Sus scrofa: one gene and its partners. The protein of the gene in region 6 binds, or shares a complex with, the protein of the main gene of each other region. Links are inferred from orthologs where the notes say so. Each region holds a gene or a part of one and is shown on either strand. Other genes may lie near its edges.

Region 1 (4,360 bases), on a different chromosome or scaffold from region 6:
CAAACAAAGCTAGGACCTTCCTGCTCATAAGCTTAGGGCTGGAAATGACAAACGACATTAGACATACGTCACACAATCAGCAAAAAGTAGACAGCGCCAAAGTGGATGGTCCTAACCACCAGACACCCCAAAGGACTACGACCATATGGGACAGCAAAGAATCAGAGAAGAGAGATCGCTGGGGACTGATCCTCAAATTGAGACCTGGTAATGGGAGCAGGTGATTCTCAAGACACAGCAGACACGGCAGGAATGAGAATGCTCGTTCAGGGTTCACGGTAACATCTTCTCTATGTGTTTTCAAGAAATGAATTAAGTGCTACAATATCTCTCATTTATGTGTGCAATAAATACGAGGGAGCTAAGGGTTTTGGAGAGAAATTAAGACACAGAGATTAAATCGCTTGCCTCAAAGGTGAGATTAAAAAAAAAAAAATTACTGGGAGTTCCCATCGTGGCGCAACGGAAACAAATCCAACTAGTAACCATAAGGTTGCAGGTTCGATCCCTGCCCTTGCTCAGTGGGTTAAGGATCCGGCGTTGCCATGAGCTGTGGTGTAGGTCGCAGATGCGGCTCGGATCCCGTGTTGCTGTGGCTCTGGCGTAGGCCAGCAGTTGTAGCTCCAATTAGACCCCTAGCCTGGGAACCTCCATGTGCCATGGGTGCAGCCCTAAAAAAAAAAAAAAAAATTATTGACTTCCAGTCCAATATTCTAGCGAACAAGGAATTCCATTCCTAAAAGAATGGGAATTAATTGAAACTAGAAATTATCTTCCTTAGAGAGATTCATGTGGTTGGAAACTTTTGGATGAAAGCAACTAGATGAGAAATAGTCTGAGTTCCCCTGGTGGCTCTGGTTACTGCTGTGGCCAGGGTTCGCTCCCTATCCTGGGAACTTCCACATGCTGCATGGCCAAAAATAACAACAGTCCTTTATTAATAATTGTGTCCTTTTGATAGAAAGACTGAGACACAGCCAACCTACTCTGAGATAATCCTTTTGAGAAACACAGTTAACTACTCCACGTGGAAAAAATGAATAAAAGTTGCCACCGCCCATGGATGCTGACTCCACAGAAGCACACCTCTCCTTCGTGAACTGAAATTTAAGCTAGGCAGCATGCTTTCAAACCACAGCTGTTTTCTCGCACCCATTAACTTTAGAACACAAGAGATAACCCCAAATGCCAATATTCGAGCTTTCTGCCAAACCCTCAGTGATTCTCCCAACTGTGAGTGATTTAAGAGTACTGCTATTCCACTTTTGACCAGTGCCAACTCGTATTAACATACACCTTCTTACAAGCTTCAGAATCACCTCAATATTACCCTGAAAAGGATTAATATTTGGAGAAACAGACTCCAAGGGTAAGGTGGCCTGTCTGTGGTCATCTGCAAATCAGCAGGCACCAGGAACAGAATTTCAGTTTTCTCTTAGCTCAGACTTCTAGGCATTTCAAACAGAAGGCTGCTGTTCAGTATAATCCCAATCATTATAACATGCTGACCAGCACAAAAAGAAAGAAAAGATTGTTCCTAAAGCAGGCTATGCACAAAGCAGGGCCTAGAAATCCCAGGTGTCATTTCTGCCACTTTCAGGTGTGAATGTGGTAGGTTCCCCCAGGATGAAGAAAGCATCTTTCAGGCAAACTAACCGCTTCCCTCTCCTTGCCCTCTCTTTCACTGAAGAACGCGCCTGGCCCTGCAGGAGCTGACCTTTACCCAAGCTCCACAAGGACTGTAAGACAAGCCTAAAAAAAGGAGAGCACAGCGACCACAATGCTGCCCGATACAAGAGCTGACATGAAAAACAGCGGAGGAGAAAAACACAAACTGCTCCAGAAATAGTTCGATGGAAATTCCAGAGAAGAGAAATCTCACTTGAAACTTTACATGATTAAAAAGTATCATCACAATGGAAAAAAAAAAAAAAAAGTCACTTGAGCAGAGAGGCGCAGGAAGTCGTACAGAGAACAAGGGCAATACTTGTCATAAATATTTACTCAGAGCCTATTCCATGCTCTTCGGAGTGTTGAGTAGTAGTGAAAAGCCAAAAAAAGTAGCGAAACACTGCAGGCACAGGGAAGAAGTGACAAGGGGACGGTTAGCCGGGAGGGTGGCCGCGAGAATGGAAGCCGCTTCGAGCTGTAAGTGGAAGATGGAAGTGTGGCGATCTGGTTACAGATCCAGAGGCAGACACACGCCTGTTCGAAGCCTCACCGGACCCCTCCGCCAGTTCTGAGTTGGGTCTATGAGTCATCTATCCGTAAAACACAAGGTGCCGCTCGGAGTCGTGGGAGTTCAAGGAGATAAAGCCATGGAAAAGAACGCGCCTCGCCAGCCCGGCGCTGGTATCGCTCCAGAAGTAAGAACTGTCTCTTTCTTTTGAGTATTTTATCTTCCCGTCCCCAAAGCCCAGTACAGTGCGTGGGGTGTCCGCTGACGGAATCAATACAGGAGAAAATGAATAGATGGATGAATGAAAGGCTGGGCGGCCCAAGAGGGCAGAAACTGCAGGAACGTGGCTCGGCGACGCCCGAAACAGACCTTCCATGGAGAGCACATGCGGGACCCTGGGGAGCGCCGCCGGGAAGGGCCCAGGAGGCTGCGGCGGGGACGGGGTGGGGGCTCCCCGGGCGACCGCGAAGCGCCCCGTCGCGCCTCGAGGGAGCGTCACGCCAGCCAGGAAGCGGGAGGGGGGCGCCGAGGGACGCGCCACGGGGAGAGGGGAAGAAGGGAAAGGAACCGGAGACCGGAGGCGGGCGCCGAGGGAAGGGGTAAGGCACCGGCCCCCTCTCCGAGAAGTCGCTTCAGATGCCCGCGCGCCGAGACCGTTTGGCCGTAACCGCCTCCATCCCGGCGCCCGTCCGCCTAGCCGGCCTTCGCCCCGCCACTGCCGCTACATCGTGCCCTCAAATCCCGCCCCGCTTCCGGCTCGGATTCGACCCGGCGCCTAACAGCCACCCCCGCTGACTCGGCCCGCTCCGCACCTCACACACGGCCCGGTGGCGGCCGCCGCCATCTTCGCGCGCGCGCGCCCTAGCCCCGCCCCCAGACGCCGCGCCCACGTGACCGCTCGCCTCCGGGGCGTGGACGGGGCTTTTCGTCACGTGACGGCGGGCGGGGCCAACATGGCGTGGCCCGGAGCGGTGAGGACTCCCGGGCGAGGGCGGTCGAGTCAGTGAGGGAGTCGGTGGAGGAGCGACACCTACGCTTGAGGTGGGAGACGTTGGAGCGTGACCTGACGCCAGCTCCTTGCCTGCACAGAGTGATCATTCAGTGGCGCTTCCCTTCTGGCAGCAGGAGAGCGGATAGAGAACGTGCTGGCTGGGTGAAGCTACCGCTCTGTGCCTGGCGAGGATTGAGGAGCCCAGAATCCAAGGCATCTCCAGTCACCCGGGTTTCCCCGGGGTCCCAGATCTAGAGACATGACCCGAGAGTGCGCTCCTCCGGCCTCTGGGTCCGGGGCTCCGCTGAGCGGGTCCGTGCTGGCAGAGGCAGCGGTGGTGTTCATAGTGGTACTGAGCATCCACGCAGCAGTGTGGGATCGGTACTCGTGGTGCGCCGTGGCCCTCGCCGTGCAGGCCTTCTACGTCCAATACAAGTGGGACCGACTGCTACAGCAGGGAAGCGCGGTCTTCCAGTTCCGAATGTCCGCAAACAGTGGCCTCCTGCCCGCTTCGGTGGTCATGCCTTTGCTCGGACTGGTTATGAAGGAGCGCTGCCAGGCTGCGGGGAACCCATACTTTGAGCGCTTTGGAATTGTGGTGGCGGCCACTGGCATGGCAGTGGCCCTCTTCTCGTCAGTATTGGCTCTGGGCATCACTCGCCCGGTGCCCACCAACACCTGTGTCATCTCGGGCTTGGCTGGAGGTGTCATCATTTATATCATGAAGCACTCTCTGAGTGTAGGCGAGGTGATAGAGGTCCTGGAGGTCCTGCTGATCTTCGTCTACCTCAACATGATCCTGCTGTACCTGTTGCCCCGCTGCTTCACCCCTGGAGAGGCTCTGCTGGTATTGGGTGGCATCAGCTTCATGCTCAACCAGCTCATTAAGCGGTCTCTGACTGTGGTGGAAAGCCAGGGAGACCCCTTGGACTTCTTCCTGCTGGTGGTGGTGGTAGGGATGGTGCTCATGGGCATCTTCTTCAGCACCCTCTTTGTTTTCATGGATTCAGGCACCTGGGCCTCCTCCATCTTCTTCCACCTCATGACCTGTGTGCTGGGCCTTGGCGTGGTCCTGCCCTGGCTTCACCGGCTCATCCGCAGGAATCCCCTGCTCTGGCTTTTTCAGTTCCTCTTCCAGACGGAGACCCGAGTCTACCTCCTGGCCTACTGGTCTCTGCTGGCCACCTTGG
Region 2 (3,908 bases), on a different chromosome or scaffold from region 6:
TGTAGGCCAAAGACACGGCTCGGATCCCGAGTTGCTGTGGCTCTGGTGTGGGCCAGCAACAACAGCTCCAATTAGACCCCTAGCCTGGGAACCTCCATATGCCGCGGGAGCAGCCCTAGAAAAGGCTAGAAAAAGACCAAAAAAAAAAAAAAAAAAAAAAAAAATTTTTTTTTTTTTTTTTTCACTTCAAAGAAGCAGAATTAGGAGTTCCCGTCATGGCTCAGTGGTTAATGAACCCAACTAGCATCCATGAAGTCTCGGGTTGAATCCCTGGATCCAGCGTTGCCGTGAGCTGTGGTGTAGGTTGCAGATGCAGCTCAAATTCCATGTTGCTGTGGCTCTAGCGTAGGCTGGTGGCTACAGCTCCAATTGGACCCCTAGCCTGAGAACTTCCATGTGGCGCAGGTGCAGCCCTAAAATTAAAAAAAAAAAAAAAAGGACCAGAATTTTAGGAGTGGAAACAATATTTTAAAAGATAAAAATACTATTCTGACAAGATCAGTACCTTGGTTTCGGAATGCTTCTTTAGTGGAATAAACCAGAAATGAAGCACCTAAATGACCAGCTCAACACAGAAATCATTAAACAGTGCCAAGCTACTGATCCATCACTCTGCTCCCCCAGGTATAAATAAAGATAGTGACAGCCATTACCTACCTCACTTTCTTTTCCCTAAGAAATTTATTTGAAAAATTATGTCAGAATTTCAGGAGCAACTGGCCACCCACATGGTCTCTAAAATACCTTAAATGATATCAGACAGAAAGCTAAAAATCAAGGTGCCAAAGACATCTTAACTAGTTATCACCTCTGTCTCAAAAGGAGGATTTAACGGTATGGTAATTACTGTATTTACAGGCGGGAACATGGGAAAGGGACCTGAGCTAACAGCTACAGAAGGAGCTTTAGCGCTCTGCTAAAACCCAAATGCAGCGTTTTCTTTTTCTTTTTTTTTGTCTTTATCTTTTTAGGGCTGTACCCACGGCATATGGCGCTTCCCAGGCTAGGGGTCTAATCGGAGCTATAGCTGCCGGCCTACACCACAGCCACAGCAACACCAGTTCGGAGCCATGTCTGCCATCTACACCACAGCTCATGGCAACGCCAGATCCTTACTTAACCCACTGAACGAGGCCAGGGATCAAACCCACAACCTCATGGTACCCGGTTGGATTCGTTTGAGCTGCACTACAATAGGAAATCCAAATGCAGCATTTTCTAAGCCAGCTGTACCCCATCAGTCACGCAATTAATTCAGTGGGTACAACCAGCATCTTCCTTCTAAAATGAAAATGAATAGAAAATATACTTATCTTTACTGCTAACCAGCAAATGATTGGTTTTTATAGTAATTTAGAGATAGGAGCTAAGGTCCAGGACAATACCTCTTTTTACATGGATTTTTTTTTTTTTTTTGTCCTTTTAGGGCCTCGTTAAGGGTCAAATTGGAACTGTAGCTGCCGGCCTACTCCTCAGCCATAGCAAGATCCAAGCTGTGTCTTCGACCTACACCACAGCTCACAGCAACACCGGATCATAAACCCACTGATCGAGGCCAGGGATCGAACCTGCATCCTCGTGTCCGGCGTCCTCATGGTTATTAGTCTGGTTCGTTAGCGCTGAGCCATGGCAGGAACTCCTCATTTTACATGGATTTTCAATAAAGAACAAATCATTTTAAAACCAAAACTGTTTACCTATATTTCATTTTAAAGTTGTAACATAAAAAAGTGCTTTACTAAGACCTTACCTTTAAACTCAGACTTGGTGCCTGGTTTTGCACTTTCGCATGCTATACATTTGGTGGAATCTGCTTTATTCTCCACTAGGCACACATCACAGTTCCAGTTTCCCTCAGGTTTCTTAAACTTGTCCAATCCTAGGGAGCCTCCAGACAACACAGAGACAGGGACAGTGCTGCTACTTGAAGCAGGTACTGAACTTCCTAAAAAATAATGGAGAAATACAGGAAAATTCCTAATTTACATCATGTCAATATCTCAGTGACACCACCAAGTCTTAATTTCCATTCTTATTAGAGTTTATTAAGATAGAGAAAATGCCAGAAGTCTAAACATTACATTGTTAAAAACAATACAGACATCTCAGATTTCTTTTAATCTTATAAATGAGCAACTCACAAACCTTGTGCAATGATGAGCTCCCTCTTAACCCCAATTATGAAGAGCCAGGATTTTTAAAAATCATGCTCATATTTCAGAGCCTAAAAGACTCAATTCTCCTTAAGATTCATTATCAAATTTCACAGCATTATACAATGTAAGTTCCAAACTGTAGGCAACAGTCTAAAACATAAAATACAGAGCCTAGACCACATTCATTTCAAGATTGCCAAGGACAGGGCTCTGCTTTGAAATGACAATTTTGCATAGAAATGTTCTACTGGCCACTCTGCAATTCAACTCGATACTACTGACTACCGTCCACAGCATTTGTTATAAAGCAGCTATCTAACAGACATGAATTAATAAGCACCATAACGTTCTTAGGTTCTGGGGGCGGAGAGCAAGATGAACAAGATGTTGCTTAACTTCTAAAGGTGCTCATGGTCTAAAAAGGGGGAAGTAAAACAAACATAAATGCACAGTAGCACCATTACGGACAAAGAGTAACACATGATCTAAACAAGAGGACAAAGAGGAAAGGACTACAGGACAGGAGAAGGAGTCACAGAGCTGATATTTACATTTTTAAGCAGAACTAGCAACTGTGGGGGAGAGGCGGCAGCACAGGAAGGATGGCTCAGCGAGGCGCAGGTGCATGAAGAAATAGTGTCGAGAGCGGAGCCATTCATTCTGGTGCCCCCACTTCTCTAAATGTTCTCCAACTGTCGTCACTTTTCCCAGTTACCTGATCTGCCGTTTACTGGTATGTTCTTTTCCATCCTGCCAATAAAATCGTTCCATCTTTGGTCCACTGCCCTTCTCACAAGCTCTCCTCGACTCCGAACATTTTAATCACCAAACAAAACCATCTTCTGATCTGGACCTGCCACCCACTCTTCAGGTTTCCTCCCCGTGCTGTCCTCTTGTCGGTGGTTCCACTATCCCCCTGGTTACCCTGGCTAGATGGCAACTCTTCCCTTACCCTTACACATTCAATACATTTCATTCTTTTTCTGACCCTTCTCCTGCTATTTTGGTTTGAGCTCCCTCACCTCTTGCTTAATAGCCCTGTTTTTTGTTTCTTTTCTTTTTTTTTTAGGGTGGCGCTTGTGGCACATGGACGTTCCCAGGCAAGGGGTTGATTTGGAGCTGTGGCTATGGGCCTACACCACAGCCACAGAAACACTGGATCTGAGCCACATCTGTGACCCACCCCGCAGCTTGTGGCAACGCCGGATCCTTAACCCACGGAGGGAGGCCAGGGATCAAACCCACATCCTCACGCACACTACGTCAGGTTCTTTTTGTTCCCTTGAAATCCATCCTCTAAAAAGCACCAGTACCGTGTGGTTTTTGATTTTCCTCTCTGGTTACTCCTTTAAAAGATTAACTGTTCCAAAGTTTTATTCCTGCTACTCCCTTAAGTTAGCAGAGTTCTGTTTTAGGCTGTCTATTTGCTCTGCTCATTCACCTCACATCACCTCTACGCCCATGACTGACTTGAAAATTCTGGGCTAAGTCCTCCCGGATCTGTATCTCCAGCCCAGAGGGTCCAGCGTCAGTGTAACCAAAGGCTTCACACCTATCTGTCAACTTTAGCAGCTTGAAAGCAACCATGTCTCCAACTGCACATTATTCTACGGCCCCCTCTAATCCTTATTTGATTCCACTAGTACACATCACTAGGATCTTGACCTATATAACTGATATAACTTCCTAATCTGTCCTCTGGTCTCCAAATTTTGTTGCCTTCAAATCTATCCTCCAAAAAGCCACCGAGTG
Region 3 (3,908 bases), on a different chromosome or scaffold from region 6:
TAAGTTAGTTGAGGATTTATAACCTGTCCATACTGTATGATGGATTTCACTTGCTCCCTGTCCGTCAGGGAAGAGAGATTCATTTGTCATCACAAATGGGGAGGTAGGGTAAGAGGTCAGGTGGGAAGAAGCACATACATGGGAGCTCAGCTGGCTAGGCCAAAGCAAGAGGCAGAGCCATCAACATGCCGTTGAAACTGGGTTTTAGGCAACTAACTCTAGTGCTCCAGAGTAAGATAAGTAAACAGTTAAAAGAAGACAGAATAAGAAACTCATTTCCACCCACATCACTTCTGTCTCCTGCCTTACACACACACACACACACACACACACACACACTACACAGCCTTATGTATTATTTTTCATGCTCCGGCCACCAGTATAACATGAAAAATCATTTGTTGACTGCCATGCATGTGTTTCCTAAGTATACTATATATATTTTCAGTTTAGCTGACAGAATTAAAATTCGGAACCTGTTAGGAAAAGACATTATTTGCCTCTGTGTTAACCTTGCAATTCAATTTCTGCGGCTTTAGGAGATCAGCACTATTCTTCAGTACGTGGTAGGAAGAAACAAATTGCTGCAGTGTCTTCATGCAAAACGGCATGCGCTGGAGTCATGGAGGCAGCTGGTAGAGATCATACTGACAGCTTGTCCCCAGGACCTAATTCAGGCAGAAGATCGACAACTGATTATTCGTGATATTTTACAAGATGTGCATGATAAGGTGGTAACCATGCCTCCTAAATTGTTTTATACAGCCGAATACATATTTATACCATTGAAACATAGTTTGCCACTCCTTTTTTTCCATTTTAGATTGGGAGTAAATAGAGTTGTGCAACACCACTGTTAAGACTTTCCTTGAGAAAGGTCCTAACTTTGTACACTAATCGCTCTCAACCAGAGTGTGTATCAGAATTTTCTAGGGAGCTTTTTAAAAATATACATGACAGGAGTTCCCGTCGTGGCTCAGTGGTTAACGAATCTGACTAGGAACCATGAGGTCGCGGGTTCGATCCCTGGCCTTGCTCAGTGGGTTAAGGATCCGGTGTTGCCGTGAGCTGTGGTGTAGGTTGCAGACGCGGCTTGGATCCCTCGTTGCTGTGGCTCTGGTGTAGGCCAGTGGCTACAGCTCCGATTGGACCCCTAGCCTGGGAACCTCCATATGCCGCAGGAGCAGCCCTAGAAAAAGACAAAAAGACAAAAAAAAAAAAAAAAAAAAAAAAAAAATATATATATATATATATATATATATATATATATATACACATGACAGATTCTACCCTAGACGTGGTGAGACATTATTTTAATTTCCTTAAAAATCTCTAGGGAATTCTGATAGGAATCTCTTCTAGTTAAGAACATGTTACCCAGCAATTTAAATTTCCTTCTGTGGGAGTTCCTGTCGTGGCGCAGTGGTTAACGAATCCGACTAGGAACCAGGACGTTGCGGGTTCAACCCCTGCCCTTGCTCAGTGGGTTAAGGATCCGGCGTTGCTGTGAGCTGTGGTGTAGGTCGCAGACACGGCTCGGATCCCACATTGCTGTGGCTGCGGTGTAGACCAGCAGCCACAGCTCTGATTAGACCCCTAGCCTGGGAACCTCCATGTGCCGCGGGAGCAGCCCAAGAAATAGCAAAAAAAAAAAAAAAAGACAAAAAAAAATAAATTTCCTCCTGTGCATTAGCCTTTATTTTCTTTGAACAATGCAATTCTATTCTTAAGTTCTTATGGTAGTTGAAAAGCTAAATGTATAAGACATGTTCATGACTGTAGCTGAAAGCAGATCCTCTTTCTGCTTTTAGATCCTCGATGATGAAGCCGCACAGGAGTTAATGCCAGTGGTAGCAGGTGCCGTGTTCACCCTGACCGCTCACCTAAGCCAAGCCGTTCGCACAGAACAGAAGCAACCGTTAGTCTTGGGACCTGGAGAGGCCCATTATGCTTTTATGCTTGATAGCTCTTTCACCTCACCTCCGCCAGCGGAGAACCCTGTGGTGGGGTTTGCTTCTATTGGAGATTCTTCACTTCACATCATATTGAAGAAACTCTTAGACTTCATTTTGAAGACAGGTTTTTTCATCTAAATTTTCTATAAATTGCAACTTCTGTATTCGCTATAACTTTAATTTGAAAAAAGGTTTTTACTCTCCTACTCTTTTTTCTTAGGTGGTGGGTTCCAGCGAGTGAGGACACACCTGTATGGCTCTCTGCTGTATTACTTACAGATTGCCCAGAGACCAGATGAACCAGACACCTTAGAAGCAGGTAGAATTAGATTTCTAATCTTTTCTGGTTTTAGGGATTGGTTACTTTAATTTCTTAAAAAAATCACTTTTTCATCAGCTATAATAAATGAGTGTTTATGGAATCATTGAAGTGCTTACTCTAGGAGTTCCCTTTTGGCACAGTAGATTAAGGATCTGGCATTGTCACTGTAGTGGCTCAGGTTGCTGCTGTAGCACAGGTTCAGTCCCTGGCCTGAGAACTTCCACATACTACGGGCACAGCCCCCCGCCCCCCCCAAAAAAGGTGCTTACTCTAAAGTCAAGTGTTCTTAGTTCTAAAATTGTGACAATCGTACAAGACTAATGTGAAAACAAAGCACCCTCAAATATTATTTTTGGTTATATTTTTTTGTAATACTCTCACCTGTGGTCCCATTGAACAATATATATAATACATACCTAGTTGTAACTTTTAAAATTGCTCATTATTCCATAGTATGGAAGTAACATTTAATCATTTGCCTTATTCAGAAGCACTTAATTTGTTTCGAATTTTTTACTGTCACAAAAATTCTGAATCAAGTATTTTATAAGCCCGTATATTTCTCAAAGAAGATACCTCATTTCCATATGAAAGAGTGTGCATATTTTTGCTTTAATAGATTCTACCAAATGGACCTCTACCAGTTTAAACTCTCATCAATAGTGTACATATGTATTTTTGTACTAATGGGAGGTTTTTCTTGGATAGATTACAAGAAATAGAATTTCTTGTTTGAAAGATCTGTGTGTTTAAAATAGTTGTAAATCTGCTATCTAAACTGTAGTTAGCATTTTTAATTAAGAATGATAATGTGAGAGTTCCCATCGTGGAGCAGCAGAAAAGAATCTGACTAAGAACCATGAGGTTGCAGGTTCGATCCTTGGCCACACTCAGTGGGTTAAGGATCCAGTGTTGTCGTGAGCTGTGGTGTAGGTTGCAGATGTGGCTTGGATCCTGCGTTGCTGGCTGTGGTATAGGCCAGCAGCTATGGCTCCGATTTGACCCCTGGCCTGGGAACCTTCATATGCCACAGGTGCAGCCTTAAAAAGCAAAAAAAAAAAAAAAAAAAAAAAGAATAATAATATGGATTCTCCTGTCTCCACATATTGAAAATGTTTTTAACTATTCAAGAGACCAGTTATAGTATTCTCTGCCAGAGTTACTCTTCTATTTAAGAACTTGTAAGCACCATCTCCTTGTCTCTTTCTGAGAACTTTTATGAGCATTTGTTATTTTGTACACAAATTCTTAAAAACCACTTTGTGTGTAAGACTCACATTATCTCATACTATTTTTAACTGGCTATATATTTTTGCATACTATAATCCTTAGAAGGATATATTTATAGAAATGTCCTACCAGCTTAAATAATGCACAAAAATGTTTTTAGGGGCCTTAAAAATAAAAAAGTATTTCAAGAGTTCCCTTGTGGCGCAGTGAGTTAAGGATTTGACATTGTCACTGCAGTGGCTCAGGATGCTGCTATGCTGCTGTGGCACGGGTTTAATCCCTGGCCCTGGAACTTCCACATGCTGTGGGTGTGGCCCCCCCCCCCACAAAAGAAAGAGTAATTCAGAGGAACTTTTTAAACAAATAGGAGGTTGTTATTTTTTTTTTTAAGAGAGTATTGG
Region 4 (3,908 bases), on a different chromosome or scaffold from region 6:
GAGGTTCTATCTAGGCAAAACTTTGCCTGCAGCCAAAAATAGCAAACAAACAAACAAAAAGATTAAGTGATCAGATTAACATTATGATAAAATCTAACTTGTTACTTTTTCAAAACTGGGCAGATTTGCAGGTAGCTGCAGAGACCCAATATAAGTTAAGGCAGTATTCCTAGTCCCACTAAATAGATTTGAGTTGTAGTTCTCATTGTTTCTGAATATGAAAATGACCTCAGCAATAATTATCAGGACTTGCTACAACAGCTGTCTTCAGTAAATCTTGAGAAGTAGATAATGTCAAACAGGTACTATAAATTTTACACAATAAGTGTATTTATCAATCACAATAGCATTTAGATAAATAACTGAAAAATAACAGCTTAAATATGCATGTACATCAATACTATTATTCATAAGGTCTACAGACAATATTTGATGCATACATGAACTCCCAGCCCTGTGCAATACTTCAGAAGGTCCCCACCCCTAGACACCCACACCCTGTCTTGGAAACTACAAACTTAGGCTATTTTAATATGATATGACCCACTCTCTTCTCCTCCACAAAAACATGTATCTTAACAATAAAAGATTATGTGTCAGGTAGATTTTATTTGTAATCAACCACTAGGGAAAAAAGGAGAAAAAAATGTTATTTGCCTCTTAGTCATTTGAATAAAGGACAGGAGGATTGCCAAGCAATAGTTGTACAGTGACTTAAAGCAGAGTAAGACAAGCAGTGAAGATTGAAGAAATGTTTTAAGGATCCACTAAAATAAAATTTTCTAGCAATGGAGCACAGGTGTGAACTCAGACTCTAAAGCAACAGTAGGTAGAGCAGTCTAACAAGGAATACAAGAAATGGACACATTGTCTAAGCAAACACTCATATCAAGTTTGAATTTAAGAGCAGCTTCCTAATTGATATTTTCTACTAATATCAAATGAAGCTAATAACTAAAATCTGTATTGCATGTGCCTCCTACAGGAAAAAGAAACTTTATAACTCTGATCTTCTGACACGCATAGTAGCTATTATTAAAGATTTAGAAAATAGACATACCATGATTTGCTCTACCACTGAAGAAAGTACTTTTACATAAAGGACTCCTTTAAAGCTAATTTAGGGTAATAATCAACAGCTAGGGAGGATACAAGAATTTTTTAAATATGAAGGCAGTGGATGCAAAGTCCAAATATTAGAATAACAGCTAAATAAATCCTTTAAATTTTCTCAAGTTTTAATCATTTCTGTTTTAAAATATAAGTAACTATATCAGTACTCTTCATAGAGCTAGCATCAGAAAAAGAAATGTTGTATAATGCTTAAATAATAGTCACATAAATATGAGAAAGCACAATAGAGCACAATTCTAATGGACAATCTACAAACCTAAACTGATAACTAGTTGCTACAGTCTTATCTCCTTATTAAAGCATGACAGTATTTTCAAGATAATATAAGTAAAAATATATAGTTAGGACTATATCAACATGTATCTCCTGTAACACACACTCCTGCTTGCTGCTTAAGTCGGCAAACATCAAAGTACTCACCATGTTAAAAAAAAATGAAGACTACAAAGATGGAAAAAAAGGAAAATAAGCTTGTATTTAAAGCTAGGCATCTTCTGGAGTTCCTGTCGTGGCGCAGTGGAAACGAATCTGACTAGGTTTCTATCCTGGCCTCGCTCAGTGGGTTAAAGGTGTGGCCTTGCCGTGAGTTGTGGTGTAGGTCACAGACGCAGCTCGGATCTGGCATTGCTGTGGCTATGGCGTAGACCAGCAGCTACAGCTCCAATTAGACCCCTAGCCTGGGAACCTCCATGTGCTGCAGGTGCAGTCCTAAAAAGACAAAAGACAAAAAATAAATAAATAAATAAATAAAAATAAAGCTAGGTATCTTCAATTATTTTCATTTAATGCCCATAACCATCCTGGAAGGTATTACCATTCTTATTGATATAAATAGGAAAAATGAGACTCAGAAAACTTGCACAAAATTAGGGCAATTAAGTAAGTGGTAGAGATTCAATGCAAATCCAGGTCTGCCTGAGTCCAAAACCTTAGGTCTTTCACATTATATGATTGTCTGCCCTTTACAGGCTCACAATATTACTGGAGAGACACACATGTATATACCTAAGAGAAGGCAGAATATAGAAGTGTCAAAATAGCTTGTTTCTCTAAATGCTATGGGCCCTCAATGGGCTCTCATAATTTTTAAACAGAGATCACTGAGAGAGGATTTTGAGGAAAAAAAAAAAAAAAACAGAGTTTAAAAAGAACCTCAGAATGTACATTTTAGCCAACAAATTGGCAAACAGAACATTCTAGGATTAAAGAATAGCATGAAAGGCAAAACATAAAAAGACAGGATAGAGTGTATTCTGTGACAGTGTGCATACTATATGGAGGCGAGGGTTAAAGTAGAAAGCAGAAAAATAATGTGGGGAATAAAACTAGATACTTATGGTAGGACAGATCACAGAAGGCTTTGGATTTTACTCTGTAGGCACTGAGTAATCATTTTAAGCATTAGAACAGGAAAATGAAATCACTAAAACTGTATTTTAGGGAAAAAAATGCTTTAGAATAAATTAGTAAGAGAGTAGAGGCTTACAGGCATAGAGTGCAGAGCAGGGACAACATAAGCCTTTGTCACTGGGTAGCATCAGTTAACAAACAGAACAGTGTACGCAGCAGGCATTCAAGAAAATAAGAGTTCCTGCCATGGATCAGCAGAAACGAATCTGACTAGTATCTATGAGGACGCAGGTTCAACCCCTGGCCTCAATCAGTGGGTTAAGGATTGTCTGGCATTGCCATGAGCTGTGGTGTAGGTCGCAGACACGGCTCCGATTTCCCATTGCTGTGGCTGTGGCACAGGCCAGCAGTTACAGCTACAACTCAACCCCTAGCCTAGGAATCTCCACATGCTACAGGTGTGGCCCTAAAAAGACACACACACACACAAAAAAAGGAAAAAACAAATGAAACTATGATAACATTCCAACAAAGAAATCAGAGCCTAAGTTAGGACAGCAGCAATAAAGAAATAAAACAGATTCAAAAACTCTGAAAGGTAGATGCAAAGAACTTAGTTACAATTTAGATGCACATGCAGCTTGAGGAAGAAGGTATTAAAGCTGAAATTTTACTGAGTGGCTGAAATTTTGGAGATATTTCATCCTCAAAGAAAAGTACTTTCTTAAAGTATGGAACTTCATATTATAATCTACACAGTAGGTTTTAAAGGTCTGCTTCACTCTAAACTGAGTACGTGTAGTATTTATAGTAGTATTTATACAAAAAGCCCATTACAGGATAAACGACATTTACATTAAATAGTTTGCAAAGAATCTTGAAAATAATTTGGTTTTAGAAAAATTTACTATATGCATATATTAGGAATATTTGGAATATATGTTTTACTTGAAACTTACTTTCTCCATCACCATCTTTATCAAATTCTTCTATCATAGCCCGAAGTTCTTCATCACTCATGTTTTCACCCAATTCTCTGGCAACACGTCGCAAATTCCTCAAGCTTATTTTACCTGAATCATCATCATCAAATAATTTAAATGCCTTCAATATTTCTTCATGTGGATCTCTTTCCAATATCCAGTCTGTCACTATAGTTAAAAAAAGGTGAAAACCAAAACTTTATAGTCACTATAGCACTCATTTGTGAAATCAACTAAGTATTAGATAAGAATTAAAGCTGTGAATGTGTCAATATTTAGTTTGACAATAAAAATGCCATACTGGAGCCCAAAGCTCCAGAGATAAAATTATAAAGACCAAATCAATATATTAAAATTTAACCTTTATATTATTAACAATTTATCCCATTATAAGATAAACATAACTGTATCACAGAAGCAAAAATTTTAAAACTATGTACC
Region 5 (3,908 bases), on a different chromosome or scaffold from region 6:
ATTAATACATTACACAGGAAAGCTCCACTGAAAGCACAAAAAAAAATCTGAAAAACAGACATGGTGTAGATTGTTCCCTGTATCATTCAGTGATCCTTCAATGAGAAGCCAGAGCAGAAATTTCTCTTGACCCCAAGGCCATGAAAAGCCTTCCCTTGCCAGAAAAAACTAAAGTGGCTTATCTAAGGGAAATATAAGATTTACAGTTATATATTGATTTTTTTCTTTTTTTTTTTTGGTTAAGAATCTCAGCCTACCTTAAATAACTACATGTTTTTGTATGTGGTCTAATTTTCCCTGTGACCTCCTCTTATTATTTTGCCTTTGACAGGATTTGTCTTTATATTTTATATACATATATAATAATAAAAACACACTATTTTCATTCTTATAAGTTGCCTTTAGCCTTTGGAAGATGGAATATCTCAAAGCTCTGAGTTTTAAAGGCTAATCACTCTATGGCATAATATTTAGATTTTTTTTCTTTAAGACAGTGGAAAAAATAAATTACGCTCACAATTTGTTTTAAAAATAATTAGAATAATGAAACTCACAGTGTGTCAACTGGAACATCAGTTGCTAAACACTGACTTCCCCACTTAATGAGGTAATAGGATAAGAGTAGGGGAGCTGTTCGGTGTAGTAGGTCTTGCTGAGCTTGAAAGAGCTGACCAGCTCCCAAAATCACCTGTACATGATGGGTGGGTGGGTGGGTGAAACAGTAAACAGCAATTAGCAATGGTAATTCTTAGGTTTAGGTATAGATAAAATAAAACAACACAGTTAAAAAGGGCATTCATAAAAGCAACATACCTACAAGCATACACAAAAGCAACACACCTATTACATTTTGGGGCGGCATATGGCAAAAACATCTACCCTAATAGCAGTACAAAACAATCAGAAAAAGCTCACAAGGTCATGTGAGCTGATGGTGAAACAGAGCAACAACAACATCAAGCTTAACTTTCATTAAATCTGTAAGTCCAGAACTCAAGAAGGGTAATAAGGAAATCTAAGTCCTTTCTGAAGCCTCTGGTCTTGGGTAAAAATAGATATTACCATCAGAGGAAAATGTGATAAGACCACCAAAGCCTCAAACATGTGGGTAACTTGGGACCAATCAATTCTAGTTCTTGGAATTCATCCTGGGGACATAGTCAAAGGAGTAAAGAAAGTTCTATCAATAAGAGGAAAACTGGCCACAACCTGGATGGCCACAGGATTGGTTGAATAAATTAAAATTGTACCAGGCAATTATTAAAAATAATGTTGTACAAAAATACTTGATAACACGTGAACGTGCTGGTGAGATTTGTAAAGCAAAGGAATAAAAATAACCAGATTACAAAAACGTAATTGGCATATGCATATATGGCATATGCAAATTTTGTAATTAAAATTTAGAAACTATCTGCAGAGAAAATGAGGGTATATACGAAAATGTAAATAGTGGCTAAACAGTTACAGATGAATTTTTATTTTCTTTTTGTTTATAAATACAGGATTACCTATAAAGATTCTACAATGAATATCTATTTCGTGTTTAGAAAACACTGACAAAGATTATAATTAAAAACAAAACAGAACAAAACCCAAACCTGAAGAAATGGAAGAGTCTACAAAGACTGAAAAGAACTAAGCAAGGGCTGCCCTGAGTGAGAGACTCTCAGGAAGGTTCCTGTTTCTCCCTGGTCGTCCTAAACAGATCATCTTCCTATTTTGTCCTTACTTTTACTTGAAATCCTGCCACCAGCAAGGTATTTGAGTAAATATATTCTGACTTGAAAAGTATATATACCTCTTGGGCTCCAAAAGCCTATCAGTTATTTATATATTAACATGAATTAGTTTAATCAGATTGCTTCCTTATGAGGCTCAGATAAAATTACTGAGTGAGAGACAAATGGGCCTTCTGCTGGTGGGCAGAAAGGGACATTTTTTTGAACATAAAACATTCATCGCTACTTGGCTTGTTGGCTAAGATCAAGTGTAGTATCTGTTCTTATCAGTTTAATATATGATACGTCCTCTATCTGAGGACAATATATTAAATGGATTTTTGGGGCTAGGAATTGGAACAGGAGCTTGCTCCATCCACTCTGCGCATCAATCTGGTATTGTAGTACTTCCAGGAACGGTGCACCCCCTCTGGGTGGGGGGGGGAGGGGAATTCAGCAGGGTGGGAAAGGACAGGAGGAAGGCAACAAGAATCTGGTGGCCTTAGAAGAGGATGGAAAGGAAGCACAGAAAGGAGCTGGGAGGATCCCTAAAACAGACTCTGTCATCTCAAAACTTCTTAGGGTAAATCCTATACTGCAGAAATAGAGTTTTTTTCTTCTTCCTTTCTTTTCTATACCAACATCCAACGTTGAACTAATAACACTAAACTTGGGAGCTCCCTAGTGGCTCAGTGGGTTAAGGACCCAGCACTGCAGGTTCGATCCCTGGCCCAGGAACATCCGGATGCCACAGGTGTGGCAAAACAAACAAACAAACAAAAAACCTCCTAAATCTGCACAGAGCTGACCTAGGAAAATTTCTCACTATTATACATACAAAGGTTAAGAGTAAAACAACCTGCTTCATAGATGTTCTTACTCTGTAATTGTAGGTTATTATGCGTACTCATTCTTAATTCGACATGCATTTTATAGAGTACTCACTATGGGCCAAGCCTGGGGGAGAGAGCAGTGAACAGAGACAGAAGTCTGTGCACAAAAAGCTGGCATTCTGCTATTGCGCCCATAGGTCTCGATGAGGATTTAGATTTCATAAGCTCTCCCCTGAGTAGTACTTACTGCATCTCCCAGCCTCATTAGTAGCTGCTGTAAGATCAACAGATCTCGGCAGATGAGGAAGCGAGTACTGGCAATCTTACACACATTTCTGCACACAATATACCCAGCTGTGCTACTACCATAGAGCTGGGAAAGATTCATTCGAATATTCAAAGGCTGAGCTGTAATTCAAAAAGAAAAAGTTAAATGGATTACTGTTTTCTCTAAATCAAATGAAAAAGGCATGTTTGTTGTTTTGTCATTTACCTGGATTGAATCCCTTTTCCATTTCCACTTCTGTTTCATAATCCATTTCCCGTATAACAAGTCCAATGGCATGGATTGGGTTCCGAATCTCTTGCAGTTTACTGCAAATATCCTCCATCACATTGTCTCTATGAGGAAATGAGAAAACTCCTATTACTACTGAGACCACATAAGACAGATTCTACACATCCTGTAAGCTAAATGCTCTACGAAACAGGAAAACCAACCACATAATAAAAGAGTGGAGATAATCATGCTAGCACGCAACATATTTTATTCCATGTAGCTAATTTTCCCTCTATTTTTCAGAAATGACAAACAAAATCAATGTGAGGAAAATGTTTTAAAATTTACAGCTTAGTTAATAGCCAGGCCATAACTTATGAGTCTGTTTCCAGACCCAAGTTAATGTGTGAGACTTTCTGGTTAAAAGCTGCAACACTGGAGTTCCTGTTGTGTCCCAGCAGATTAAGAACCCGACTAGAATCTGTGAGGATATGGGTTCCATCCCTGGCCTCAATGGGTTAAGGATCTGGTGTTGCCAAAGCAGAGGTGTAGGCCACAGAAGCGTCTCAGACCTGGCACTGCTGTGGCTATGGCGTAGGCCAGTGGCCACAACTCCAATTCAACCCCTAGCCTGGGAATTTCCATGTGCAGTGGGTGTGGCCCTAAAAAAAAAAAAAGCTGAAGCACCTACTTAGAATCACAGCAACTCATTTTAACTTTAAGCCACTACTTTGTACACACTTGAACGTACATTAAAAACCTGATTTTAGCACTAAAAACTGCTAAATTTCCATTAGGAAATGAACTTTACCCTAAATTCTCCTTACACATCAATAGTGATCAAATCTTCCAGAA
Region 6 (4,439 bases):
AGCACTACCACATTACACAACGTGGTAATGACATAAGAATGGACATAACAAACTAATGAAACAAAATTGAGAGCTCAAAAATAAACCCATAAAGCTACTGCCAACTGATTTCTGACAAACGTGCCAAGTCCACTCAATGGAAAAAGAAGAGTCTCTTCAATAGATGGTGATGGGGAGTTCCTGTCGTAGCTCAGTGGTTAACAAACCCAACTAGTATCCATGAAGACATGGGTTTGATCCATGGCCTTGATCAGTGGGTTAAGGATCCAGCATTGCTATGAGCTGTGGTGCAGGTTGCAGACGCGGCTCGCTTCTGGCACTGCTGTGCTCTGGCGTAAGCTGGCAGTTGTACCTTTGATTTGACCCCTAGCCTGGGAACCTCCATTTGCCGTGGGTGCAGCCCTAAAAAGCAAAAACATAAAACAAAATAAAATAAAATAGGCAAATTCATACAGAAGTAAATTAAATGTAACCGGGGGTTAGTTAGGGAGAAGAGGAACCTAGGGAGTTATCACTCAAGAGTTACAAAGTTTCTGTTTGTGGTGATGAAAAATTTTGGAAATAGTAGTGAAAGTGGCACATTACCTGTGCAATTAACACTACCGAATTACACACGTAAAAGTAGTTAAAATGGGCAAATTTTGTTACACCTGGTTTACCATAATTTAAAACATCAACAATATAATGTACCAAAACTCATTACACTGTACTTTTTTTTTTTTCTTTTTAGGGCCGCACCTGAGGCATACGGAGATTCCCAGGCTAGGGGTTGAATCAGAGCTGTAGCCTCTGGCCTACAACAGAGCCACAGCAATGCCAGATCCAAGCCATGTCTGCAACCTACACCACAGCTCCCAGCAACACCAGATCCTTAACCCACTGAGAGAGGCCAGGGATCAAACCCGCAACCTCGTGGTTCCTAGCCGGATTCGTTTCCGCTGCACCATGATGGGAACTCCTAAACTGTACATTTTGAATGATGAGTTGTATGGCATGTAAATTACTCCTCAATAAAGCTGATGAAAATATACTTTAATTTTAGGAGTTCCCATGTGGCTCAGTGATAACAAATCCAACTAGTATCCATGAGGATGTGGGTTTGAACTCTGGCCCTGCTCAGTGGGTTAAGGATCAGTCATTGCTGTGAGCTGCAGGGTAGTGAGCTGCGGTGTAGGTCGAAGATGCGGCTTGGATCCTGCTTGGCTGTGGTGTAGCCCAGCAGCTGCAGCTCTGATTCAACCCCTAGCCTGGGAACTTCCATGTGCCACAGGTGTGGCCCTAAAAATGAAACAAAACAAAAAATATATGTATGTTCTAATTTTATGTCAAAACAGTGACATACACCTAAGAAATAATTCCACATAATGTTATTATGACAGTATTTACTGTACAGCCTTAATAGTATGTACTCGAACTACAGACAGTCTTAACCTTCATTCAGGAATCTTAAACACCCGAGAAAAACAGGTCAAGAAGGATAGAACTGTAGTTAGCAAGAAACGATTTTAAAAAGCAAAGAACCATGAGGTTGAGGGTTTGATCCCTGGCCTTACTCAATGGGTTGAGGATCTGGAGTTGCCGGGAGCTGTGGTGTAGGTCGCAGACGTGGTGGGATTTGGCGTTGCTGTGGCTCTGGCTAGGCTGGCAGGTACAGCTCCGATTGGACCCTAGCTTGGGAACCTCCATATGCCGCAGATGCGGCCCTAAAAAGACTAAATAAATAAAAAGCAAAAAGAGGAATACACCAGAATTGAATATACAGAGCCTTTCTTCCCCAACCCACAAATTCATACTTTTTTTTTTTAAATGAGCTGCGGTATAGTGAGCTGCGGTGTGGGTTGCAGATGTGGCTTGGATCCTGCGTTGATCCTCGCGGCATGCGCGAGTTCCTGGGCTAGAGACTGACCCTGAACCACAGCAGTGACACCAGATCCTTAACCACTAGGCTACCAGGGACCTCCCACGAATTCATAATTTGAAAGACAGAGGAAGTTTATGACAACAGCAATACACAACTGTCAAGATGGCACTAAAAAAAAAAAAAAAAAAACACCTTTCTTTTCCATTTTTATGTATTTATTTATTTATTTTTAAGAGCCAGGCCCGCAGCATATGGAAGTTCCCCTACCCGGAACACCTTAAATGACTGTACTTTAACACCCATATCTACTGCGAGCACTTAATGCGCTAAACACTTCCGTTAATGTTTAACACGGGACATACTAAAAACTCCTATCAGTAGCCTGATTCCGCCCTATTAACGAAATAAACAGAACTTGCTTCAAATCCCACAGCCTGTGTCCAGCATAGCTATGACTCCACCCCAGGGAAGTGACTCGGGATCCTGCGCCCACCCCCTACTCGCCGTCCCCGTCCCCGTCCCCTCTAGGCACCACGTCCGGTCGGATCCACGATGTGGCCAACTCCCTACGTGGGAACAAGGGGAAGTACCCTAAGAGACATCTACGTCTACCCCAGCAATAAGGCCCGGGAAGGAACTCAGAACCCCCGCGACCCAGCGGGAAAACGAAAGTCGGCAAAAGCAGCTTCCAATGCAGAGTGTGAGGGATGGCGAGGCGGCCGCGCCGAAGCGGCAGCGCCTCGGCGTGGAGCCCGGGCAGTGGGCACAGCGGGGCCGGCCGGGCGCCGTAGAGGACGAAGAGGAAGAGAAGGAGAAGGAAAAGCAGAAGGGAGCGCCGCGCCAACGCCCGCCCGCCGCCTCCCCGCCCCCCGCGCGCCGGCCGCGCCTCAGTGGGAGCCATGGCGCCGCGGCCCGCCCGGAGGCCGCGCGCCCATCCCGCTCACCTCTCGGGGCGACGGAGCGGAGCCCTGCACTGAGGCGATGTACCGCTCCACGTCCGCCTTGCTACGCCGCATCGCGCCGCCGAGCGGGGTCCGCGCGAGGGACGCCAGCGCCGAGGCCGCAGCTGCCGCCGTCTCAGGAGCTCGGCGCCCGAAGGTCCGTGACGCAGCTCCGTAGCCGGCGAGGGGCAGACACGCGTGCGTGCATGCGTGCGTACGTGCGTGTTGCGTCATCACTGTGCGCCGCGCAGGCCCTCGGGCGCCGGCGTTCGGTGGTGACTATGCTAGCGAGGTGCGCGGGAATGCGAAGGTGACGTAGTGACAACGAGGCGACGGGGACTGGTCCAACCCACGGACGTTCCTAACAGTCACACCTCGGCGCCAGTCGTAGGCGTTTAGAAAGCGTCTTCCGGAGCTCCTGTTGTGCTTCCATAGAAAAGAGCCCGACCAATATTCATGAGGGCTCCGGTTCGATCCCTGCCCTAGCTCAATGGTACAAGGATGCCGCGTTGCTGTGGCCATGGTGTAGGCGGGCAGCTACAGCTCTGATTCAGCACCTATCCTGGGAATTTCAGTATTCCTTGGGTGTAGCCTTACAAAGCAAAAATAAGGTGTTTTCAGTAGGTTTCAGATTTCAGCAGATCACATCAGTGTATACAGGGAGTTTAGAATTTATAGTTATGGTTTATTTTTATTTTTTGCTTATAGACTTTATGGTTTTATCCAACACTTAAAAGTCGCCTGGCCACTTAGAATCTATCCTTTTTTATTTTTCCATTTTCCAAACTTCCTTCTTTTTTTTTTTTTTTTTTTTTTTGGCTTTTTATGGGCCTCACCTGCGGCGTATGGAACTTCCCAGGCCAGGGGTCAAATCCGAGCTCCAGCTGCCAGCCTACACCACAGCTCAGGCAACACCCACAGAGCAGGGCCAGGGATCTAACCGGAGCCCTCATGGTATTTGTGATACTAGCCAGATTTGTTACTGCTGGGCCACAATGGGAACTCCCATTTTCCAAACTTGGCAATGACCAATTACTGCCTCTGTAAAGAGGGAAAATCAGCCCGTCCTATTTCATTTCAGTCATTTTGGATATGAATAAGAGTACTAAGGCAGGAATGATTCTGTAAACAAGCCACTGTTAGTGGGTGAACTTTAGTGGTCCTGCTCAGCCTCAGGTCAGCATTGCAGTGGGCCTTTCCCCCAAGCAAGGGACCATTGGTGAGTGACCACTGGCCTCTCCCCCTCCCCTTTCTCTGTACAAAAGGAACCTGAATTCAGAGAAAGGCAAGATGGTTTTTTTGAGACACTAGTCTGCCGGCTTTCCAATTAAAGTCATTATTCCTGGCCTCAGTATCCCGATGTACTGGCCTGTTGAGCTGTAAGCAGAGGGAACTGGGTTCAGGATCAATTGTGAGGTTGCTACTGGGATTGGCATAATTAACGGAAGTACAGTGTAAAGAAAACTGGTCCTGGATGGAATATCTCACTTTAGGTGTTGATTTATTTCACCTGAGTTTCCATTTGTGTATTCAAGTGGAGATGCCCAGCCTGCAGGTGAAGTCGTAGGACTGGGTTCTGTGGCAACTTGGCTGTCATAAGCCTTGTGGACAGTGTTGGTGATAATAGCCAAAGCTTA
Region 7 (3,908 bases), on a different chromosome or scaffold from region 6:
GGCGTTGCCGTGAACTGTGGTGAAGGTCTCAGATGCGGCTCGGATCCTGTGTTGCTGTGGCTCAAGTGTAGGCCGGCGGCTACAGCTCTCATTAGACCCCTAGCCTGGGAACCTCCGTATTTTGTGGATACAGCCCTAGAAAAGACAAAAAGACAAATAAATAAGCTAGGAATTCAGAAAAGGGAAAGATCAGTGTTCACTGGGTTAGTCAAGAAAAGCTTCATGAGTTTTTAAAAATTTATTTTATTCAATAAATACTAATAAGCACTATGCCAGGTACCACAATGTCATAGGAAGATTAAAAACGCGCAGAGTTCCCTCATGGCTCAGTGGGTTAAGGATCCTGCAGTGGCTCAGGTCCCTGCTGTGGTGTGGGTTTGATCCCTGGCCTAGGAACTTCCACATGCTGCAGGCATGGCCCAAAGAAGACTGAGCTACACAGTACTTAGCCTCAGGGTAACATGTATTTTGTCGTACTGGAATATAGTGACAGGTGATTTAATTTCCTATTTACTTGAATTGATCTTGTTTTGACCCCTCACCACAGGATTTTCAGTTTAGAGCACTGAAGAAGGTGAGAATCTTTGACTCCCCTGAGGAGCTGCCGAAGGAACGCTCAAGTCTACTTGCCGTGTCCAACAAGTATGGCCTGGTCTTTGCCGGTGGAGCCAGTGGGTTGCAGATTTTTCCTACCAAAAATCTTCTTATTCAGAATAAACCTGGCGATGATCCCAATAAGATAGGTAAGTTACTTAATTTATGGTGCATTGTAAAGAGAGGAGTCGTGCAGTGCTAATGCCATTTGCTTCCGAAGAAGTCATCCTCCCAGTACAATTAAAACTGCTGTTAGTCCTGAGATTGACCCCCAGGAAGAGTAAGTTCTGGGTAGGCTGCTGGAAGCTTTTCTGGGAGTTCCGTTTGATTCTTCGTGTATCTCTTTTGATGAGTTGTTCCTTGCTTTTAGTTTTTGCTCAGTTGAACTTGCTCCGGCTTTCTCCCGGAAGAGTTGTGTTGCATGGCTTTTTAGTTGTCATAGGAGCACCATCCAAACAAATGGGAATATGTACTATTTGGAGTGTTGTTACAGAAATTCAGCATGGGACACTATTTTCTTTTTCTTTTTTTGCTTTTTACACTCGCAGCATGTGGAGGTTCCCAGGCTAGGGGTTGAATCAGAGCTGCAGCTGCCAGCCTACACCATGGCCATAGACGGCCAGATCTGAGTTGAGTCTGCGACCTACACCATAGCTCACGGCAACACCGGATCCCTGGCCCACTGAACAGTGCCAGGGATCGAACCCACATCCTCATGGATGCTAGTCAGGTTCATTTCCGCTGAGCCATGATGGGAACTCCAGGACACTATTTTCAACAAGGAGCACAGCCACTGCGAGTTTCCCCAGGTCTTAAGAGGAAGAATCCTAGAATACTTAAAGCATCATTGTACATCTGCAGGACAGCCATGATTTATCTGCACAGCTGGGTATCAGGGTGTGTGCATATGTTTGTGTAGATGCTAAAGTTATTTTACGTCAACTTGAATAGAGGGCTTGTGGCTTATGCTTAGAACACTCCATCTTCTGCTTTGTGGGTTATTTTGTCTTCATAGTTGATAAAGTTCAGAGCCTGCTGGTTCCTATGAAATTCCCGATACATCACCTGGCCCTAAGCTGCGATAACCTCACGCTTTCCGTGTGCATGATGTCCAGTGAATATGGCTCCATTATTGCTTTTTTTGATGTTCGCACCTTTTCAAATGAGGTAAGCTGCTGGCAAACTGTAGGGACCTGGTACTGAATCAGAATCTACAAGTTCTGGGTTGACCTTTGAATCTTTTTCTAGATTAAAGTACGGGTTTTTAAAAGGTCCTTAATTATAGAATCACAGATCTTAGAGATAAAAGTGACCTCAAGAAATTATTTCGGGGGAGTTCCTGTTGTGTGGCTCACCGGGTCATGAACCCGACGAGTATCCATGAGGATGTGGGTTTGATCCCTAGCCTTGCTCAGTGGGTTCAGGATCCGGTGTTGCTGCGGCATAGGCCAGGAGCTGTAGCTCCGATTGGACCCCTAACATGGGAACTTTCATGTGCCGTGGGGTGACCTTAAAAAAAAAATAAAATTCAAGGACCCAATACTGTTAATAAGCAGAGCCCAAGAGTTCCCTGGTGGCACAACAGGTTAAAGATCTGGCATTGTTGCTGTAGCAGCTTGGGTCACTGCTGTGGCTCAGGATCAATCCCTCACCCAAGAACTTGCACAACCAAAAAAAAGAAAAGCCCAGATTTTAGTCTAGTATATACTCTTTATTGTTCTACATGTGTGTATTCCCCTGTTGAGTCTCTCCAAGTATGCTGGAATAATTGCCGTTTTCAAAGTTGTATTAAAATTGTAACAAACACGTTGTGCAGGGCTAAGTATTCTTGTCATGGAGCAGAGTGAACTATAATTGGAGAAAACTTGTGTATTCAATGTTTTTTTTTTTGACTGTTAAATGTCTGTTTATTTTTGTTTCTGGGCATTTGTTTTAAAAGGCTAAGCAGCAGAAACGTCCGTTTGCCTATCACAAGCTCTCGAAAGATGCAGGAGGCATGGTGATTGACATGAAGTGGAACCCTACCGTCGCCTCCATGGTGGCAGTTTGTCTGGCCGATGGCAGCATTGCTGTCCTGCAAGTCACAGAAACCGTGAAAGTGTGTGCCACTCTTCCCTCCACAGTAGGAGTAACATCTGGTGGGTAATGAAGTCTTCTGCTCTGTAACGTGTGGTAGTGGTCATCTATTTAAAAACTAGTTACTGGGGAGTTCCCACTGTGGCTCAGTGGGAACGAAGGCAGCTAGTGTCCATGAGGATGCAGGTTCGACCCCTGGCTCCGCTTTGTGGGTTAAGGATCCGGCGTTGCCGCAAGCTCCGGTGTGGGTCCGGCTTTGGCTCTAGTGTAGGCTGGCACCTGTAGCTCTGATTTGAGCACTAATCTGGGAACTTCCATATGCTGCGGGCAGGGCTGGGAAAAAAAAAAAAAAAAGCGAAAATAAATAATAAGAAAAACAATATTTTATCTTTGTGTGTGTGTGTGTGCGTGCGCTTTTTAGGGCTGCCCCTGCCCTGGCATATGGAGGTTCCTAGGCGAGAGGTCGAATCGGAACTGTAGCCCCTGGCCTGCACCATAGCCACAGCAACATCAGATCCGGGCTGCGTCTTTGACCTACACCACAGCTTACGGCAATGACAGATCCTTAACCCACTGAGCGAGGCCAGGGATTGAACCTGTGTCCTCATGGATGCTAGTCAGATTCGTTTCCAGTGAGCCGCAATAGGAACTCCATCAAAACAAAAAGAGGTGATAGTCCTTTAAAAAAAATTAATTTCTGGGAAAAAAAACCTCAAGTGGGTTTGTTTTGTTGTTTTTGGTAGAAGTGGAGAGAATGTTTCTTATTTTTGTAGTTACTGTCCTTGAAGCGAGACAGCATATGTGATTTAGCTTGAATGTACTTGGGTTTTCTGGAGAAAAAAATATTGTGGTAGAGCTGGTTTAGAACTGTGCTGTTAAGAATAACTGTTTTTCTCTTAAAGAGTCATATTTTGTACCTTCAGGGAAAAAGCATCAGAAAGTACCACGTAGGAGCAAGAGAATGATTTCTTGATGTCGGAAAATCTTCTCTTCTCGTTTTTTCTAGAGTTTTCTGCACTTTACAGTTTTCGGGGCCATGCTGCCCTGAAAAGGCGCTTTTAGCAGCTGATTCAGTGGCCCAGACATAACTCACAATTAGCTTGTGTTGTCAAAATGATTTTCCTTTTTTCACTTCGCCAAGTAAGGGTGATCCCACGGTTTTCCCTGACGTGACAGAGGAACAAGAATTGGTTTTGCTCCATGTTCTTCGGTTTTTAGTGGGTGGCTTCTCTTCTTTC

The links.
Region 1: E3 SUMO-protein ligase RanBP2 (region 6) and NUP188 share a complex: the UniProt entries of both Homo sapiens proteins name them as parts of the nuclear pore complex. The link is inferred for Sus scrofa from reciprocal best matches to the Homo sapiens genes RANBP2 and NUP188.
Region 2: E3 SUMO-protein ligase RanBP2 (region 6) and NUP153 share a complex: the UniProt entries of both Homo sapiens proteins name them as parts of the nuclear pore complex. The link is inferred for Sus scrofa from reciprocal best matches to the Homo sapiens genes RANBP2 and NUP153.
Region 3: E3 SUMO-protein ligase RanBP2 (region 6) and NUP205 share a complex: the UniProt entries of both Homo sapiens proteins name them as parts of the nuclear pore complex. The link is inferred for Sus scrofa from reciprocal best matches to the Homo sapiens genes RANBP2 and NUP205.
Region 4: E3 SUMO-protein ligase RanBP2 (region 6) and CETN3 share a complex: the UniProt entries of both Homo sapiens proteins name them as parts of the nuclear pore complex. The link is inferred for Sus scrofa from reciprocal best matches to the Homo sapiens genes RANBP2 and CETN3.
Region 5: E3 SUMO-protein ligase RanBP2 (region 6) and NUP160 share a complex: the UniProt entries of both Homo sapiens proteins name them as parts of the nuclear pore complex. The link is inferred for Sus scrofa from reciprocal best matches to the Homo sapiens genes RANBP2 and NUP160.
Region 7: E3 SUMO-protein ligase RanBP2 (region 6) and NUP214 share a complex: the UniProt entries of both Homo sapiens proteins name them as parts of the nuclear pore complex. The link is inferred for Sus scrofa from reciprocal best matches to the Homo sapiens genes RANBP2 and NUP214.

What each region holds. Positions count from the first base shown.
Region 1 is NC_010443.5:269,258,226-269,262,585, reverse strand, and holds the start of NUP188 (nucleoporin NUP188 homolog), read right to left. Parts: upstream 3,091-4,360; 5' UTR 3,024-3,090; coding exon 2,992-3,023; intron 1-2,991. Other genes in the region: DOLK (dolichol kinase), read left to right, coding at 3,430-4,360. UniProt on the Homo sapiens protein: Component of the nuclear pore complex (NPC), a complex required for the trafficking across the nuclear envelope. Required for proper protein transport into the nucleus.
Region 2 is NC_010449.5:13,410,779-13,414,686, forward strand, and holds part of NUP153 (nuclear pore complex protein Nup153), read right to left. Parts: intron 1,946-3,908; coding exon 1,751-1,945; intron 1-1,750. UniProt on the Homo sapiens protein: Component of the nuclear pore complex (NPC), a complex required for the trafficking across the nuclear envelope. Functions as a scaffolding element in the nuclear phase of the NPC essential for normal nucleocytoplasmic transport of proteins and mRNAs.
Region 3 is NC_010460.4:13,718,738-13,722,645, reverse strand, and holds part of NUP205 (nuclear pore complex protein Nup205), read left to right. Parts: intron 1-539; coding exon 540-731; intron 732-1,811; coding exon 1,812-2,079; intron 2,080-2,175; coding exon 2,176-2,274; intron 2,275-3,908. UniProt on the Homo sapiens protein: Plays a role in the nuclear pore complex (NPC) assembly and/or maintenance. May anchor NUP62 and other nucleoporins, but not NUP153 and TPR, to the NPC.
Region 4 is NC_010444.4:97,579,474-97,583,381, forward strand, and holds part of CETN3 (centrin-3), read right to left. Parts: intron 3,636-3,908; coding exon 3,444-3,635; intron 1-3,443. UniProt on the Homo sapiens protein: Plays a fundamental role in microtubule-organizing center structure and function. As a component of the TREX-2 complex, involved in the export of mRNAs to the cytoplasm through the nuclear pores.
Region 5 is NC_010444.4:14,867,173-14,871,080, reverse strand, and holds part of NUP160 (nuclear pore complex protein Nup160), read right to left. Parts: coding exon 3,881-3,908; intron 3,176-3,880; coding exon 3,048-3,175; intron 2,963-3,047; coding exon 2,802-2,962; intron 689-2,801; coding exon 555-688; intron 1-554. UniProt on the Homo sapiens protein: Functions as a component of the nuclear pore complex (NPC). Involved in poly(A)+ RNA transport.
Region 6 is NC_010445.4:47,598,344-47,602,782, forward strand, and holds the start of E3 SUMO-protein ligase RanBP2, read right to left. Parts: upstream 2,986-4,439; 5' UTR 2,878-2,985; coding exon 2,806-2,877; intron 1-2,805. UniProt on the Homo sapiens protein: E3 SUMO-protein ligase which facilitates SUMO1 and SUMO2 conjugation by UBE2I. Involved in transport factor (Ran-GTP, karyopherin)-mediated protein import via the F-G repeat-containing domain which acts as a docking site for substrates.
Region 7 is NC_010443.5:271,106,582-271,110,489, forward strand, and holds part of NUP214 (nuclear pore complex protein Nup214), read left to right. Parts: intron 1-547; coding exon 548-743; intron 744-1,609; coding exon 1,610-1,761; intron 1,762-2,533; coding exon 2,534-2,732; intron 2,733-3,908. UniProt on the Homo sapiens protein: Part of the nuclear pore complex. Has a critical role in nucleocytoplasmic transport.